Coturnix japonica: one gene and its partners. The protein of the gene in region 3 purifies or fractionates together with the protein of the main gene of each other region. This does not show direct contact. Links are inferred from orthologs where the notes say so. Each region holds a gene or a part of one and is shown on either strand. Other genes may lie near its edges. The genes, in order: WWC2, YWHAE and PTPN14.

What was found.
Region 1: the proteins of PTPN14 (region 3) and WWC2 purify together in Homo sapiens (affinity purification with mass spectrometry, with the first as the bait; 3 studies listed by BioGRID). This does not show direct contact. The link is inferred for Coturnix japonica from reciprocal best matches to the Homo sapiens genes PTPN14 and WWC2.
Region 2: the proteins of PTPN14 (region 3) and YWHAE purify together in Homo sapiens (affinity purification with mass spectrometry; 3 studies listed by BioGRID and IntAct, with this or other methods). This does not show direct contact. The link is inferred for Coturnix japonica from reciprocal best matches to the Homo sapiens genes PTPN14 and YWHAE.

The regions. Positions count from the first base shown.
Region 1 is NC_029519.1:35,377,103-35,383,226, forward strand, and holds the start of WWC2 (protein WWC2), read right to left. Parts: upstream 3,863-6,124; 5' UTR 3,334-3,862; coding exon 3,203-3,333; intron 1-3,202. UniProt on the Homo sapiens protein: Regulator of the Hippo signaling pathway, also known as the Salvador-Warts-Hippo (SWH) pathway.
Region 2 is NC_029534.1:3,989,113-3,995,145, reverse strand, and holds the start of YWHAE (14-3-3 protein epsilon), read right to left. Parts: upstream 4,113-6,033; 5' UTR 3,976-4,112; coding exon 3,912-3,975; intron 1-3,911. UniProt on the Homo sapiens protein: Adapter protein implicated in the regulation of a large spectrum of both general and specialized signaling pathways. Binds to a large number of partners, usually by recognition of a phosphoserine or phosphothreonine motif.
Region 3 is NC_029518.1:18,515,313-18,521,436, reverse strand, and holds the start of PTPN14 (tyrosine-protein phosphatase non-receptor type 14), read right to left. Parts: upstream 3,473-6,124; 5' UTR 3,363-3,472; intron 3,227-3,362; exon of another isoform or gene 3,118-3,226; intron 1-3,117. UniProt on the Homo sapiens protein: Protein tyrosine phosphatase which may play a role in the regulation of lymphangiogenesis, cell-cell adhesion, cell-matrix adhesion, cell migration, cell growth and also regulates TGF-beta gene expression, thereby modulating epithelial-mesenchymal transition.

The DNA of each region.
Region 1 (6,124 bases), on a different chromosome or scaffold from region 3:
CTGAAGCTCTGATTTGGACAGACAACTCCTACCCCAGTAACTGAAACCCATGACAGAAACAGTAGTTTTCAGCTCCCTGGAAGATGAAAGCAGCAATAGAAACATCATTACCTGTCCTCGTCAGCACTAAGAAAACTCTTACAGTGCACAAGCAGCAAAGCTGTCTGCTTTCTGCTCATCCAATGTTTCTCACGCACTGCCTTGGTTACAGAGTTAGCGAGTCCCCTAGAGACACTCTCGGACAAGCATACCATGAATGATTTTAAATACATCCATGTATTGGAAGCTGCTCCTTCCCAGCAGAAAGAGAAGCAGAGGCAGAAAGAAAGTGCTGTTTCTTTTTTTCCATTGCAGCTCATTCCTTGCCACTTTGATGTGAGTGCAGACAAGCATTTAAATAAAGACCTGTTGCAAGTGCAGAATTTGTGATGCGGAATTCATTTTAGAAAAGACATCAATGTAGCAATGTATTTTATGTCAGTGACGGTGAGTAGTGAAGCACAGACTATTTACTATGCAGAAAGCAAGACGCGAGGAGCAATAACACCCATATATTTAGTCAGTGAAAAAGCTGCTACAACTCCCACATTCTCACTGTTCTGTCTCCTCTTCCTCAAACTTACACCTCAAGTTCCCTCCCCTTTCAACCATCAGCCTTCCATACGGTAACCTAAGAGTTTGCAGAGAGCAATCACTGTTGAACAGAGAAACAAAACATTAAAAAAACGCAGAACAGAGCAATTCCAATAACCAACACAGCACTCCTAGAAACACACAAGTCAAATCACTTTTGCCCTTGCAAGTGTGAGCTACTCTAATGTCAGTGGGGTTACTCAGAGAGGGCAAAAACAAGAACTGAGCCTCAAGGTTGAAGCTGATGTGAGATTTTCTTCCTGTTATACATAAGATATTATAGTAACAGACCTAAACCATACATATAGTAACACGCACTATCAGAAGGTCTAAAAAAGCAGATGAAAAAAGTAGGGTAAATTAAAAATAATAATAATAAAAATCACAAATTGTTCCATTAAACTTTGGAATATGGCATTTTGTCTTTCAGTTTATTTCTAGACTATTTCATACCAGTAACACTGAGACTCCCAGCTGTTCCCAAATACACCTGCTGGCCCACAGACACACGGCACAAGTCTCATTGTATGAATACTGGAGGCTAGTACTTTCTAAATCAAAGTGGATTAAAAAGGATCTTGAAACATCATGTAAGACATTTCTGTATAAAAATATCCAGGGGATGCTGTACCACAAAAGCAGAAGAAAAAAAAAAAGTCAATACAACAATACCACACTGCTTCTACACTTGCTGTAGAAATGAAGGACTTTGGGTCCACAAGTACTTTATGAAAACTTTTTAACCTCCATCACAGAATGAAGTTGAAATCAAAGCCCTGAAGCGTCAGACCTCAGACCTTCTGTAGGATGCATTACCTCCGCTTTGACAAGTTAAGGTGAGCTGCAGTAACAAGGCAAATCTAGATTGTACTGTACTGACAAACCTGGAAGATCACATGTCAGTTTTACTGACATGGAGCCTTCATTATGTTTGTATGGTTTCAGAATACACATTTTCTAAATACCTGGGAAACAGAAAGGACTCTCAAGCAAAGCCATCTCGAGGCCAGGCCACCAATACAAACAGATTGTAAATACAGATACTGTAAATACAGGTAATGTAAACTGCAGATTAAATGTGCTTGTCAGTTTCCTGTGAGGGCGATTCAGCTCCACGGCTGAGCCATGTACATTAAGTTAGGAATTCCATAGCACAAAATCCCTCTGCTTGTTTTCCATGAGTGAAGAGTGAAAGCAGTTATTTCAAACACCGCACTCTCTCAAGAAGGTCTTTACTTCCTCAGTTCTCATGACAGACCATCGAGTCTCAGGATTCAATTTCTCCTTCACCTGTAATCAATGTATTAATGGAACAACACTTATCCCGTACCTACAGGATGGCAAGCAGTGCACTGCTACTCCCTTAGCTGTATAGTCTACTAATGACAGCAAAGACTCAAATGTTACCGCCAAGTATGTGTATCCTTGAACTCTTCAGGGCCAGAGAACACAAAGAATATAATTCTAAATTAGTATATTCCTGAGGCGCAATTGTAACAAGTAGGTCCTCAAATGTCACTTTTTGCTTCACCTTGATTACACCGCCTCACCATCTGCTTTGCAAAGAGAAATTCAAAGTCTACCACCGAGTGACTCCTTAAATACACTACTTCTAGAGATGGGAAAGACAGAACTTTTTTATTGTCCGCTGTAAAAAAATAAAAATCAATGACTCAAAAAGGCCCATTTATCACAGGTGTAATTAACAACACCGTCCCGTACACTTTACCACCTCACTAATATTTACAAGGCATTTGAATTCCTTTGCACTTGAAAGCACGTTAAGCACGAAGTTCACCCTGGCTGGAATTTGCTGCTGCAACAAGTGTGAGAGTGGAGCGGGCCTGTGCAGCGTGTGCTGCTTGTCAGCGCTCCGCACTGCGAGCCCAGGGCAGCTCCAGCCTCTGAGAAACACAAACCCGGGCTCTCATTTATAATGCAGGACAGCTTGTTCCACGCGTTCATAACTCCTTCTGCAAGTTTCTGATAACTCGAATGGACCGTTTTCAACATCACGTTACACACAGTGCGGAAACAACGTGGATATATACACAAAGTTCTCTCTTCCCATTACTTTCCAGGAGCGCTGCCTCACAACTCGAGGCAGGTACCCGGGCGTTTCCCCGCACGGTGAGCGGGGCAGGACCGAAGGCCACCGCCTCTCCCCAGCTGGAAGAGCTGCCCCGATGACTCTCCCGCTCGCAACACGCGAGTTGCCCACGCCGCTCAGCAGAGCGTTTTGGAGGCGAGTTTTGCCCGTTTCAGCCCTCAGAGCCGGAGGAGGCTGCGGCTGGCGGGGTGCTGAGCCGTGCCGAGGCCTAGCGGGCACGCGAGGCCTGCAGCTGCTCCCCCGGCCGCGCCGTGCTCCTCGCGCCGGGACGGCCGGGCTGGAGGCCCGTGGTGCCGCACCGAGTCGGCTCCGTGCTCGGGGCGGGGGGCGGGATGGCGGCCGGCCGCTCGGCCAACTTTTGTACCTGTTGGGCGGCTCGGTCGCCCTCGGCGCCTTTTGTCCCGGGCTCCGCGGCCTCAGGCCGGCAGCACCCCGCTGCAGCCCCCGCCTCGCACCCACCTGTCCCTGGGGTCGATCCAGCTGGTCTGCTTGGTGTTGTGGTCGATGTAAAAGACTTTGCCGTCGTAATCCCTCGCCTCCTCCCAGCCATCGGGTAAGGGGAGCTGCCCATTCCCCGCTTTCCTAGGCATGGTCGGCCGGCGGGGGCGGCTGCTCCATAGGGACGGAAAGAAAGAAGGGAAGCGGGAAAAGCCCCCACCCGAGCCGAGGGGACGCGGAGGGGGCCCCGCAGCCGAGCCCGGCCCGGAGCCGGAGGACGACGCTGGCGGCAGCCCGGGGAGCAGCTCCTCCAACGCCGGCTCTCGGCCCACCGTGCCGGGGCTGCCGCGGGCGGGCGGGCGGCAGCCCAGGTCAGGGATCCCGGCGGAGCCCAGCTGCCGTCTGTGCGCGGGGAGCCCGGCTGAGCCCCGGGCGGCTGCGGCCGCCGCTCATTAGCATGAGATTAGCATCCACCTCATCTGCATGCACATTCCTCCCGCCGCATTCCTCAGGGTTAACCCTGCCGGCGCTGCCCCCACACCGCGCCCGCGGGACGGGGGGAAACCCAGACCCGGGCGGGGTCGCGGAAAAGGCACGAACAAGTTGGCGGAGGAAACGGGGGCGGGAGCAGAAGGGCCGAGGCAGGGCCTGGGGCTGACCGCGGGAGCTGCCTACGAGAGGAAGGGGAGAGCGGAGCGGGGGCGGCGAGGTGCGCCCGGCGTTCCCTTTGTCCCCGAGGCGCCGTCAGGTGGCGCAGCCCGCGGCCCTCGGGGCGCTCCAGTGCGGGCGCTGAGCTGAGAGGAGCGGAGCGGGAGGGCGGCTGTGTCCCCGGGCTGTGTCAGTGCGTTTCTCAGTGCGCTCCTCTGAACTCGCTCTAAAACCCCGCTAAGACTCGAGGGTTGGTAGAAAGACCTCGGTGCTTAAAACAGCCTGGTTTTCCCTTTCACTTTAATTTTGAGCTTTTTCTCTTGAACTCCGAGAAGACTTTAAACTTTTCGATCGTTTGGTTTTGTGGGTTTTTTTTTGTTTTTTTTTTTAACAGGTGCCCTTCTGGCCTGAAAGGCAGCCCGCGCACGTTGCATTGAGAAGCCAGGTGTGAATTACGGCGGTAGTGAGGCAGGTTGCCATGGCTCGGCTGATAGAAGGTAACCTGATGAGCTCTGGTAATTAGTTTGTGCATCTGATCCCCAGGGTTTGGCTTAAGAAGTGGAACTACAGAGGGGGAATATGACTGCTGTTTGATAACTGGGACTCCTGAGGAGCCCAGGGTTTGCTCCCTGCTTTCTAGATCGTTTTCTTTATACTTTCCTGGATTGAATAACACAAAGTTTTTGTGGGAAAGAAGGTTTGGAATCCAGACCTGTGGGTTTGTTGTTGATGGTTTGCTTCTTTATTTATTTATTTTCCCCTATCCTTCTACAGCTTAGTACTCAGTTCTATGGATTATTCTCCTGACACAATTTGTGCTTACTAAGCACCAGGCTGATGCAGCGCCCAACAGGGTTTTGGATTCCACTTCAGAGGCCAAACACCCAACCATTAGGTGTTGCAGCGATTGATTTACAGGCATCCAAATCTCATTGTTGGATCTGCTCCTAAACAGAAGAAAAATAGAAAGGAGATATGATCTTAATTTAGCTAATTGTTGATCTGGTGAAGACATTTGCTATCTTAGTCATTCTAATCATTTTATTCTGTAATACTAATCTGCTGTTCCATCTCTGTAAATAGCTGTATGCCTCCCAAAAACACCTGCTGGTTCACCTTCAGACTCTCTTGACGATTTTATTTTCACATCTGCTGAATTAAGGCAATGTGTAATGAAAGTACATACTTCAAGTAAGGCCCTGGTGGTTAACACTGGAGAAGAACTGATGTGTGCAAGCCTCTGCATCTCCATAAGAGTTCAGCTACAGAAAGTAACAGGATCATTGCCTACTAAAGTGCCAGACTCATTTATTTTCATTGAGAGTATTATGTTTCAGTCAGCTGACTGGTTTATAATGTCCAGCCTTGTTTTTCACCAGAGTGAAGAAGTTCTTTTACTATCTATTAAAACTTCTATCACTTTCAAGAGTCTAATTTTATAAACTTGCTTTTAAGTGTCATCCTACAGTGAGAAAGTACATGAGACAATTGTGAGACATGATAAGCTGGATTTCTGTTTTAGTTTATCAGTAATGTTTTTTGTTATGTAAATTGAGAGAAAAGCTACTGAGGTTATTATTTTCTCTGGAACCAGCTGCTAGTTACCGATCCTTAGTTTGATCATCCACTAAAGTGATGTCCCTGAAGAAATTTCCAGTCGTTACAGTTCTCATTCATAATAGCCACAAATGGTTCAGCATCCAGAGCTGTAGCTGTCTCCCTGAAAAGCTGCATTATAGTTCAGTCTCCAGTGCTTTCAAACAGCATTTGAATGCAGAATAAATTACGGAATATGCTGTCGGAATTAATGAATCTCTAAAAAATCTGAGAAATGCTTGAATATATGCGTATTGTTTATGCTGCTATTTATTTTTTAGTCACTTAAATACTATACAAACCAATCTGGACAGCCAGTATGACTTCCCTGACACGCGGTTATTGTAGAACTGTGAATATTCTCAGCATTATGGATATTGGCTTATTTATAAGCACGGCGGTTTTTATCTAAGACAGCCAAATCTTCAAGAAAAACCAAAACCAACTCCAAAACAAACAAAAAAACCCAACCAAGTAGGACTCCATCGTGCCTGGAGATTCTTAGTTTTAAAAACTGTTTTTAAAGTCCTGTGAAGTAAAACTGTGCACAAGGGAAGGAAAGCAAAGGAGGAAGAGTGCTACTTTTCCTACTGTCAGCTCCTGGTGCATGGGTACGGCTGACAGTAAAAGGTCTTTGATACCATTTCTAGCTGAATGTATGAAGCAATGAAGCCAGTGAACAGCTTTGATAATACTGAC
Region 2 (6,033 bases), on a different chromosome or scaffold from region 3:
AACAGAAGAGTCAGATTGAAAGCAGAGGCAAACAAGGACTGAGTCTCATCATACATTTCAGTTTGACTGAGATCTGCTACTTAAGAGTCTCCTAATACAAGAACTTGAGTAAGTTAATGGACACTAACCCAGTACGTGGGCTTCCTGCAGGGCACTGAGCCATCTAAGGTTGGATGCTCAACACTTCTGGTATCTCAGACGTTTCAAGAGGCAAATTATCAAAGGTCCTCACACAGCTCTGCTGGGCAGAGGGGAATTACACCCCTCAGATGCATTTATATTATTTACTTGAAAGAGGACCACTGCAAACTGAAAATTATGAGCAACTTAATCATTCATCTATCTCATAAGTGAGAATTTGATTCTTCAGCAAGCTGTAATTGCAAGTCCTGCTACTGTGAGCCAACTCATTCTACAATATGTTCAGATTTTGGATTCAGTGCACACCTTGTTGCCTTCAGAGGGAAGGTTTGCTTCTCTGGCAATGAGTTAATAGCAACACAGGAGTTACATGTTGACTTGCTGTACTGGGAATCAGGAGAGCTGTCAATTATCTTCTTCCCAGCTGTAAACAGAGCTATTATCCTCACCTGCTACACCCTGGGTAAACTTCAAATGATGTATTTCAAGATCTGTGGCACAAATCTGTTGGCAGGACTGAAGCACCCACAGGATTCACTCGGAGCTTACCTTCTATCCTAGCATGCTTCTCTACTGATGAGAAGAAAGGTGCTACCTAGCTTCTGCAACAGAGAGTTAGTTTTGACATTCAGCAGTCCATGAGAACGCAGATACATACAATCTTTTGATGTGAGAAAGTAAAGAGTTAGTGATTTCATAAACCAACGCAATTTTATCAACTCCAGTTGTTTCCCAGAAAAGACATTTTATATATATTACGCAATTGGGAACCATCTTTGAAGGAACTCAAAGGGTTTTCACTCAGGGTGGTGACGCACTGGAACAGGTTGCCCGAGGAGGCTGTGGATGCCCCATCCCTGCAGGCATTCAAGGCCAGGCTGGATGTGGCTCTGGGCAGTGGCGACCCTGTACATAGCAGGGGGGGTTGAAACCAGATGATCATTGTGGTCCTTTTCAACCCAGGCCATTCTGTGGTTCTATCAAGTGCAGGTAAATGTGATTTTTTTTTTCCTCAAGTACGATTTGTCACAAAGCTTTCTCTAATACAAGTAGGCTGCCCGGCATTTTGTGATCTGTCATGACACGCCTGGGTAGATCCGTAAAGACAGACACCCAAATCTCTTACTATCTCTAGGGATCACAGCTTTAAGCATTATTTACACTGCAGAGGCACCTAAGAAAGTTGTCCTCTTAATCTGGGCCGATACACCAAGGGCTGTACAGAGACAGAACTACATTCCCAACAACTGGCAGGCACAGCCTGCAAGGCTTCAGAACTTAAGTGGGTCATGTAACTAAAAAAAACCCAAAAAACTTATTAGATTCCTACCTTAGAAGCTGCCTCAAATGCCATGGACCATGGCTGTTCTAACCACACAGCACGCTGAGCCTCACTGAGAAAGATGTGGCAGAACGTAACGCTATCCTAACATTAAACATCAAAAATTGTCATTTTACATTCATATTCAAGTCACAGAACAGGTTTCTATTCCAGCACATTTGTAGCCAGTACTTACCATCAGTAGTATCTGGAAGTTATTCACTATTACCTCACCATCATGTATCTCAAAGGTAAAACTAAAGAATGAAACTAAGCATCACTTCACTTCCCCACAGCATTTCATTCACATTGAGCAGCCTCAGCACTTACTTTCATGTAAATGAGAATATACTCTTCACTTTTTAATTGCTTCCAACTGAACGATACAGAATTAGATGCTAAACCTGTACCTACAGTATTTATTTTTCCAGGCCAGGGACAGAAAAAAAGGCGGAAAGCTATAGAACAACATGGAGAGTTAAGGGATGCACCTTAAATTTGTTGATTCAACTCCATGCCAACAAATTCTGCAAGTCTGAATCCCACAATATTGCTTTAAAGATAAGAACACTATGATTATCATTACCTCCTCAGTGAGGGTGTTCTTATTAACACTCAGAAGCCACACAGAAGCCCTCTGAATTCTGACCTAGGCAATTCATTCTTCAAACACCCACTGGAGCATTGGGATTGGAAGCCCACTGACTGCCTTTGTGTGGCATTTCTATCTCTATCAACCTTTTTTGATAAGGAAATCAGGCTGTGCTGCAGATTTCTACAATAAGGGAAGGTCTGATTGCTTTCCAAAGAAGTGACTTCCCATTCAGCTAGGAAAGCATCAGTTATACCTCAAAAGGATGATGTATCCCCCAAACATCCTTAGCCTGGAGTTCCATTCAAACCACAGCTCACCCCTGCGCTGAGGCTCATCTGTACCAGGTGAACAAACCCTCCCCCACACACACCCCAATACTGCTGGATTTGTGGTCTTTGTGGAAGATGGCAGCAATGAGAACAATGCACCTTCCCATCCCACACTCCTAAGGAGACAAAAAAACCAAGATACCCCAAATCTACACCCCCCTCCTCAACCACTTGTACCCACAGATGTTGCTCTCCTACTATGAGCTGCATCTTACTTGAAGGGGTGGGCACAAGTCACCCCACAAAACCTGCTTTGGGGGACGTTTTTTCCCCCAAGTCCCTGCAGTTACAACAAGGAGACTATCTGGCTGCTGTCACTCAGTACGATTCTTATTCCTACCCCATTTCTACCAGAACATTCACTGCAGATGGTCTTAATTACTCCTTCATTTCTGTTTTCCTCCCCCAAAAGGTGTATTTCTCAGCTTTGGAATCCCATTATCAGAAGTTTTCTAAGCAGTAACTCAGAGAACAAAGCCTAATTCTCACCAGCTGACTTCCCTGCTCTGTGAAAACCCTGATCAATTAAAGGACCCAAAGCATCTCCCCACTTCTAAATGAAACCTAACTGTACTCCCACCCTTTACACACACACCGGCTTTTCTTCCACTTGAAATACAGATCTAAGGGCAGAAATAACAACCCCATTGAGAAAATTAAAGGCCCTTTCTTCTATAGGCAAGAAAAGCACCTTGAAGGGAACAGTCACACGGCAGACATTTTGGGGGCAAGAAATACCATCCAGGGCTGCCAGCTCCTCCCCACCGCCCCTTTTTTTTCCCCAAGATATAAAGGGATCAGAGCTCTAATTTCATAAGGCAAATGAGGGAAGGGGGGGGGGAGGAAAAAAGAGACAAAGTGGGAACGTAAAATGGTCTGTAATGATTTCCAGCGTGTAATGAAAGCATGTGTTCTTCCTTCAGGTAATGACGGGCAGTGCCAGACGGCTGCAGGGTGAATGAGAGCCGTGCCTCCAATGGAAAGCGAAGGGAGAGAAAGAGAAGCGCCATCCCGCTCCCTCGGGTCCCTCCGGCATCGCCCCCCCCGAGGGGCCGGCACGAACCTTCCGGAGAGCGGGGCGTTGTCTGCGGCGAACCGAGCTCAGCCCCACAGCGCCGAGCTCCGCGGGGCCGCGGCCGGAGGGAAACGCAGCACTAAGGAGCCGCCCGGCACCGCCACAGCCGCCCGCACGGCGCTAAGCAGTGGGGTCTCTTTGTCGGACCCCCGAGGCGGGGGCGGCTCCCCCCTTCCCCCCCCCAGGACTCGCCCTTCGCGGCCGCCATTTTCTTCCCGGCTTCTGCCGCCACCGCCCCCCGTAGCGGGCCACGCCCAGGCCGAGGCCGCCCGCTCATTCAGGGCCCCCCATCCCCGGTTCCGCGGCCCTCGGGGCGCTCCCCGGCGCCATTTTGTCGGCGCCCCCCTCCTCCGCCCCTGCCCCCCCCACCCCCGCCCAGCCGCCATTTTGTGGCCGCTCCCTCCCTCTCTCTCCCCTTGGCCTCTCACGGCCTTCCCGGCCGCCGCTCACCATCGTAACGTTCAGCCTGTTCGGCCAACTTAGCCTGATAGACGAGATCCTCCCGATCGTCCATGTCCTGCAGGCGGAGCGGCGTCGGGGAGCGTACGGGGCGGATGGAAGCCGATGGGTCTGTGGGGCTCAGCAGCTACCAGCTCGCTGCTCTCCGGGCAAATATGGCGGCAGCACCTCCTCCCGCTGCATCCGGGCACTTCCACAACCGCGCGCATGCGCCCTACGGCATCCCATAGCAACGGCGGCTCCTTAGTAACGGGCGGGATGTGGCCGGGCCGGGGTTGGGACCGGCCGCCATTTTGCTGTTGAGCGGCGGCCGTGAGGATGCGGATCCGCCGCGATGTGGAGGCCGAGGGCCGCGGTGCGGAGCCGGTTGGGGTTGGGGGTGCTGGTAGGGAGCCCTGCTAGTGTGTTAAAGAGCCGGGTGGGGGTGCGGGGAGGATCGGAGTGGCCGGGTTTTCCCTCAGTCTGGCTGCGCTTTTCTCCTTCCTCTCAGATCTGGTGTATTCAAAGTACAGCGGCCTTTCCCTGTTGTATTCGTCCCGGGTATAGGAATGCCTGTAGAAAGGCAGGCTGTGTGATGGGGGAGCGCTGTGGCTGCCATCACTGACTGATCACTGAGGGGATGGAACTGGAACGTGAGAGGAATGTGGCATCAATTCCTCACAGAGGCCTGAAATCCACCGAGCAGGCATTGAAAGCGTTATGATAACACCCCCCCGTTTCCCAAATCAAAGAAAAAGCAAAAGAAAAGTGATTCTGTTTGGCTAAGATAAACGTGAGGTTTGTTCAGGGTGGGTATGAGCTCGTATCCGCTATGAACAGGCTCGTATCTCTTTTTCCAGTGTCTCCTTGGATGGGCTGAAGGCTCTTGGCCTTCCTGAGGTGTGAGAGCCCACAGAGGCCATTGCAGCTTCTGATACGCAGCAGAGACAGAGCATCCCCGGCACCTCTTGGACAGAGCTGAGTATCCATTTGTGTTCTATGTTGTGCCCACTGATCAGAGGCACAGGTTTAACCATCGGTTTATTGTCACCTGATTCATTTCATTGCATTATTTCAAGTTAACGAAGACTTAAGGTTGTGTAAAACTGACAATTGGATGGTTTGCTTATGGATGTACCTAAAATATTACTATGATTTTTATAGAATTATATAGAATCCCAGCGGATTACGGTCAGTGTATTTGTGTAACACTGCGCAACTTACAATCACCTCCGCCCTTCATAAATCTTAACTAAAAAAGCCTATTTTCTCAGCAGCTAAGACTTAGTTTTGTGTGGGACTGTACATGATCAATTCGATTTGCCTCAACGTAGGGACTTTACTTGATCCTCAATTTCCTGATGCAATCCTTGCCTTGTCCTTTGCACACACAACATTTACACACATTGATTGGGCTGCTACTGCAACAGAAAGTCACCACTGCAAGAAGAAGCAATAGAACTCTGCATAAATCCTTCATGACAAAGCCATGGAGACTTGCAAATACCAATAGTGAGGTAGGTGAGCAAGGAGTAAAGCTGAGGGCAGTGCTTCTCCCTGTGGAAATTTATTATATGAGGCTGATGGGCTTATTGTGTGGACAGGAAAACTGGCATCTCAGTATAGTTAAGTGCAAAGTCCCACTCGAGGACTCCACTAAACAGTACTGATGAGGAAAGTTATGTGTAGTAACCTGCCAACTGAATACCAAGTAACTAAAATACTGAATGCTTTAATTGTAATGTAGTGAAACAAATGCCATTGTTGAACATACCAGCAAGAAAGGATTACTGACATCAAGACTCCTCCCTGCCTACTCCCAGAACCAACATACAGTGTAGTAAAGCGTTATTAAAATATATATAGTATATATTTAAAATATATATATACTATAAAGTATAAAATATGGCCTATTCTATGCAGTGAGGGCCTTGTGAGCTAAAGAGCACCCCCAGAAGGCCAAATGTTTAGGAGTATTTTCATTTAAGTCATCTCAAGAACCCCCAAACTATTTTCTAATGCATCCCTACAGTTAGAATTGAGACTAATAACTAACAAGTCTCATTTTTACTTTCTTCCTGAGTCCTCCTCCTGCAATGAGAATAGTTCTCCCTCTCCCCCTGGACTTAAGGAA
Region 3 (6,124 bases):
CTAGGAAGCGGGGCTGCAGTTTCCAAAAGCCTGGCACTGGACAAAGCTCAGTATCTAAACTTCTGATTAGCAATGCCTCCATGCTACAGAACATCACAGTGGGCTGGAGGGCAGCATTCTCCCAAGGATATCACCCCCATCCAACATTTCACACACCTGACTCTCTCAAGAAAAATCCTCTGTTTAGAAACTCTTTTTAGAGCTAGTTACATTTATGCTTAATCAGTGGTAAATTTGTAGTCTCAAGTTTTTACCAAAAGTTGTTCATCTAAAGTGGATTATAATATATATAATGCTTACTAATTTCAATGACAACGACGACAGCGGAAAACACATTTTAAAACAAGCACGCACGTTCCTTTTATGTACACATTTTGCACTGCATCAGTCTGGAGACCTTAATTCCAGGGGACACTTCCAGCATTGATAAGAGCTGGCCTTGGGAAATACTTTGAAGAGCAATCTTTAAGCCTTTTTGTTTTTAAACTCTTCTCTGTATCTAAAGCCAAAAATTCCAATCAGTGTAGCTCAGAAGGTAAACCACTGTACCTACATAGTTACAGCACCTTCAATTGACCACCATCTCCACCAGCTCCCTAAGATGAGGCCAGATTTCATTATAGTATGCACTAACAGCTGAAGATCAGGAAATTATAATTTTTCTACTCCTTTTGTTTCTTTACACACAACCACCCTTGAATTCATAAAGTTTGCTTAAAAAAAAACGTTCTACTGTATGTCAACAAACAAAACAATAATAGCAAATTTATTGAAAATCATCCTCATTGATTCAAAAGGAAGGTAACTCAACCACAATAATGTGCACAAAGTAGAAGTAAAAGGCATAATATGAACCCACTGGAATCACACTATTTCTTGAAAGAGATGAAGACCAATCAGGATAACTCCCATAACCTTACCGAGGCCTAATGCCACCCTTCTGACACTTTAACACCCCCCCCCCACACACACACACACACAGCCCAAGGCAGAGGACAGGGGCAGAGTGACAGGGGACAGCTTCTACCTTAAGGCCCGTTCCTACATCTGTAGGTAACCTTATAAACTCAGAGCATGCTGCAAACCAGAAGGCTGTGCAGCAGCCCTGTGCAGAAGCTGGGCAGCATGGGTGGACAAATGATGCTTGCTCTGGGCACATAGAGAAGCACAGACACAGGCAGCCAAAATCACCCCATGAGTTTGCTCCAGCATTAGGCACAGGAGGGCAAACATGCCGAGATGGAACAGAGCTTTTTCAGACAAAGTTTCAGAGAACCTCAAGCATGGATTCCTCATACGAGTAGCAACAACTTCAGTGCCACCGCATGTCAGCAAGATCTGCTCTTCTGGAGCTCCAGAGGGCAGTAGGCCAAGGTGTTATGCAATTGCAGTGGACCTGGACATCAAAGAGACTTTTTAGCATAGAAGTTAAGCCTTTATCAAAATCTTCTTACAATTGAGCTGGATACACATGCACAAATATATTGCACACTAAACATTATAGCCTAGTTCTTGTGTACATGTCTGTAGCTATTAATAATAAAGAAATTCCACAGTTTCCAAAGCAGCATTCAGGAATATGAATTCAAGCACATAGGCGACTCTTTGAAGGACTAAGACTTGTGACCCACTGAGAACTTGCTACGATCTGCACATCAGCAGCAGTAACATCAGAAACACAGAATCAAACACAGCCTTATCGAGTACGAGGAGAAACAAGTGAAGACTAACCCCTTAGGCTGCAGCGGTACCAAACAGACTTAGAACAAAGAAACAGCATAGTTAGCAGAAGTACGTAAGCAAATATTTAAATATATATATATATATATATATATATATCAAATGCTTTCTTCAAGACTGGAGGAGCCACTGGAGGCCGAGGCAATCTGCTAAGTGCATGGGAACAGATCTACTTTGCAGGAAGCCAGTCCCCTCTTACACGGTGCTAAGTGACTGACAGGATGGACAAGGAGAGCGGTCAAGGCAAGCACCATGGTTGATTACCAGGTAATCAACTCTGCTCCAAAACTATTTCTTCTGCTATCTCCAAAATGTTTATCAGACCTGCTTAAAACCATTCACCAACGTAGACAGAGAAGCTTAGAGAGCAGCCCCAGCCTACACCATGGCAACTCCACAGCCATGCCCTCAAGCCCAGCGCACACAGGTACCATAGAGGACCAGATGGCCACAGGCCCAGGGAGCACCTTCCTGCTGATGAGGCCACGCAGGCAGCGCTCCCAATGCTCCTACTGCCACCCACTGCATACACACAAGTGCCCTCTGCCTGCGAGCAGCTCTGCACAGCCTCCCTGAAAAGCTGAACAGCCTCTGAACAAAAAGTTCAGAGAAGTGCTGTCAGCAACAGAGCAGGGCCTACAGCTTATGTGCACTGCTCTGATACCAACACGCCGAATGTTACACCATATAAAGAGTGCTGCCTGCCAGACACTGACCTTCCAGAGAATGAGGGATGTGTGATACCCGCAGACTGAACATCACAGACCGACAAGTGGCCCCCAAAGTGCCTTCCCCACGATGGAGAAGCCGCAGGTGGCACTTGGGGGCGGGGGGAGCCATTTTGCAGGCAGATTTCCCCGGCTCCGAGGAACTTCAGCATGTAACAGTGTTTCTGGAATAGCCGGAGCCAGCAGTGGTTAAGAGCTCCAAGGAAAAGAGAGAAGCGGCTTCTGGCAGAACAATTTCTTTCAGCTATGGTTTCAGGCCACATGCCAGAAATCCCAGAAAACTTTCTGGGCCGGCAGCACGTTGAATCAGAGCTTCTACCGACCTCTGTTTGCTGCCACCTCGGTAAAGTTACCAACAACCGAAGAGATGCTCACGATAGAAGCATGTGGTAACGTGATGCAAAACACAGATAAAACCCTCTCGATAGGAAGACGGCAGCACACGGTCAGTCAACACGCCACACGTACATTATGTAAGCCCGTCCCAAACGCGTTCCGTAAAGCGAGCCCGGAGCCCTCCCGGGCACCGCCGCTGTGCCACTGCCCCCCGCCCGGGCACAGCTCGGTGCAGCAGTAACAAAGGCGAAGGTACCGGGTCGGAGAGTGCAGCGGGCACGGCGATAGAACCCGAGGATCCGCGAGCACCCACCAGCGCCGCGTGTCCCGCAGATCGTAGCCCTTTGCCGGCCGGGCTGTCCGAGCCCGCTGATGGCAGCTGGCCGCCTGGCACTCCCTGCCCGAGCTGAGCTATTTTCGTCGGTTACGAACAGGCGAGGAGCTGCAAGAGCAGCGCGCAACGAGCGACGAACACGGAGCACGGAGCGGAACGCGCTCCCGGGACGGCTCGGAAAGCGGCGGGACTCAAGTGCGGCCAACTCGGCGGCGGCTCCTTACCTGCTGGGCGGCGGCTCCGGCTTCGTGCGCTATCCCGGCCCGGAAGGCGGCCGCCTTCCTCCCTGCGGGGAGACCCGCTCCCGCCGCCCCGGCCCGGCCACGGCGAGCAACTTCGGCGGGGCGGGCGCAGCTGGGGCCGCCGCCGGCGGCGCGGGGGGCCGGGACGCCCGGAGCTGCTGCCGTCGCCCGAGGGCTGCGGGCAGGAGGGAGAGAGGGAGGGGACTGCCGGCCCGTGGGGGCGAGCGAGCGAGCGAGCAGGAGGCGGCGGGGCCGGGGCCGGGCTGGGGCCGGGGCGGCGCGGGGAGTCACGGCCCAGGAATGCCAGGAATGTGGGGCGGCCGCTGCGGCCGCGGGGCCCGGAGACGTCGGGACGCGACTTGGGATTTCTTTTCTTTTTTAATTCTTTTTTTCTTTTAATTCTTTTAAAAAAATATTTTTTTTTTTCCCCCGCCCTAACGAAAGAGGAGGGCAGAAACCCACCCAGAGGAGGAGAAGGGAAGAGGAGGGAGGAAGAGGAGGGCGCAGGCTACTGCCAATGGGGGCGGCCGCCGGCAGCAGCCTTCGCAAGGAGAGCGGCGCTGCCAAGTTTGGGGCAGATCCGCAGCGCCTGCCCGCCCCTTCCCCGCCTCCCTCCGCGCGTGGCGAAGAGGGGACGGCCCGGCCGCGGCCTCCGCGCACGTGTCCCGGCCCGCGGCGGCGGGGCCCCAGCAGGGGCGAGGCCGAGGCTGGGGTGGGGGCGAAGAACGGCACGGCTCGGAGCGAGCACCTTCGGAGGGACGTGGGGCCGGAGGAGGCTGGGCGGGAGTGGGCCGGGAAACTCCTGCGCTTTCCTCTGCCTTCCTCGTGTAACTCACACAGAATCGCAGAATGACCCGGGTTGGAAGGGACCTCAAGGATCATGTAGTTCCAACCCCCCTGCCTGGCAGGGCCACCAAACATACACCTTTACTAGATCAGGTTGCCCAGGGCCCTGTCCAACCTGGTCTTGAACACCTCCAAGGACGGGGCATCTACAACCTCCCTGGGCAGCCTGTTCCAGGGCCTAACCACTCTCCTAGTGAAGAACTTCCCCCTGACATCCAACCTAAATCTTCCCTCTTTTAACTTAAAACCATTTCCCCGTGTCCTGCTATTGTCAGCCCTTTCAAACTGCATGAAGCATTCAGGATGCCTAGTGTTAGGCAGCTGTGGGAAAGCCCTTCCCATACCTATTGCAAGGAGAAGGGGCAGAGTGCAGCAGGTTGTAGGAAGCAAGGAGCACCATCATTGCTTCGGCCAGATAGCACCAGGCCACAACACCTAAGATTGGTCAGTTAGTAATGACATGAGGCCTCCTTGCTTGTCATAGCTGATGGTCAGTTTGCAATTCCTTTTGCATTATATTGCAATGTTACCCACATTCCCATAAGTATATCTAAATACTAGTAGGACACCTGTGTAAACCTCAGGTGGAGGTGTCTGTCTAAAACCGTGACAACAGGACTTCTACAAACGGGAAAGCTATGAAAAAACAGTACAAACTGAGGATTGAAACTATTTTTTAGTTGCTGAATGCTTTTGCTGCTTGTACATTTTACTGAAGGAGTATGTGAATAGATTCAATGCAGTCAGTATTAATCGGATTAATAATGATAAGAGGATCAAGAGCTGAGTGAGAGAGAAATAGTGTGGATTCTTGATTTTGATAGATAAGTAATTGTATTTAAATACTGTCTATTGAATCGTGGACCCATGCCTTACCTCTGGCATAATATTAGTATAATTACATTTTGCAAGGTGAGTCCTTTTCATCTAAGACTTTCAAGTGTTTTATAAGTGCAGACCTAAATGAAGTGAGTAATTATCCCCATTTTACATTGGGCTACACTGAGGCATTAAGAAGTGACACCATTTAAGATTGTTACTTGAACTAGATTAGACCACATATAGATACAGAGCTCTCAGTAGCAATCTGGAAGCACCATCAGGTGTCAGATGATAAGATGAAGCTCAGATCTGCTATGCTCTGAAGTTACACAGTTCAATTTTATGCCAGTAAACAGCTTCCCCCTCCCGAGTGGAAAGCTGCATGAGAAAGCAGCGTGCACCAGAACTCAGACTGAACTTGTTAGATTCCTGTCATGTTCTCTGCACAGTGAGAGAGGCGTAAATTCTTTGTGTTTAAGATGGTAAGGATTGACTTTTGCAGCTATGCCTCAACGTGAGCTTGTGGTTTAGCAGCTGGCCACTTTTACTTTCATGGTCTGCAATTGAAGAAAACTTATTCAGTGACCTTAATTGCAAATGAAGTTGCAAGAAACACAAGCATGTTCACAAATTCTGGATGGGAGGTTTTATGCATTGCCTACCTGCAGCATGATTCCCTAGAATAATGAAGAGAAGATTCTGAGACCAGGAATGGTGAAGATTACCACTTTTTCTCATGAGATTACTTAATGCAATGTCTATATTATACTGTACTCTCAGTGACTGTAGCAGGAGGTGCTTTAGAAGTACAAAGCTTTATTGAGATTATAGTCAGTTGCTGCAAGGAGTCTTCCATAAGGAAATTTCTGTTGTAAGTGCTACTATTCCTTTCTAAGACTGTTGAAACCTCGAATCTTTACATACAGCTTTGTTACCCCAAGAGCTGCTAGGAGTGCATGACTCTGGGATTAAAACAGAGTACTTACTACTTCTTGGAGGGTGATTTCATAAAATACTGAAACAGATTTAGGTGTTCTAAAAGTTTCATGTTAACATGATACAAAACTCTATGCTGG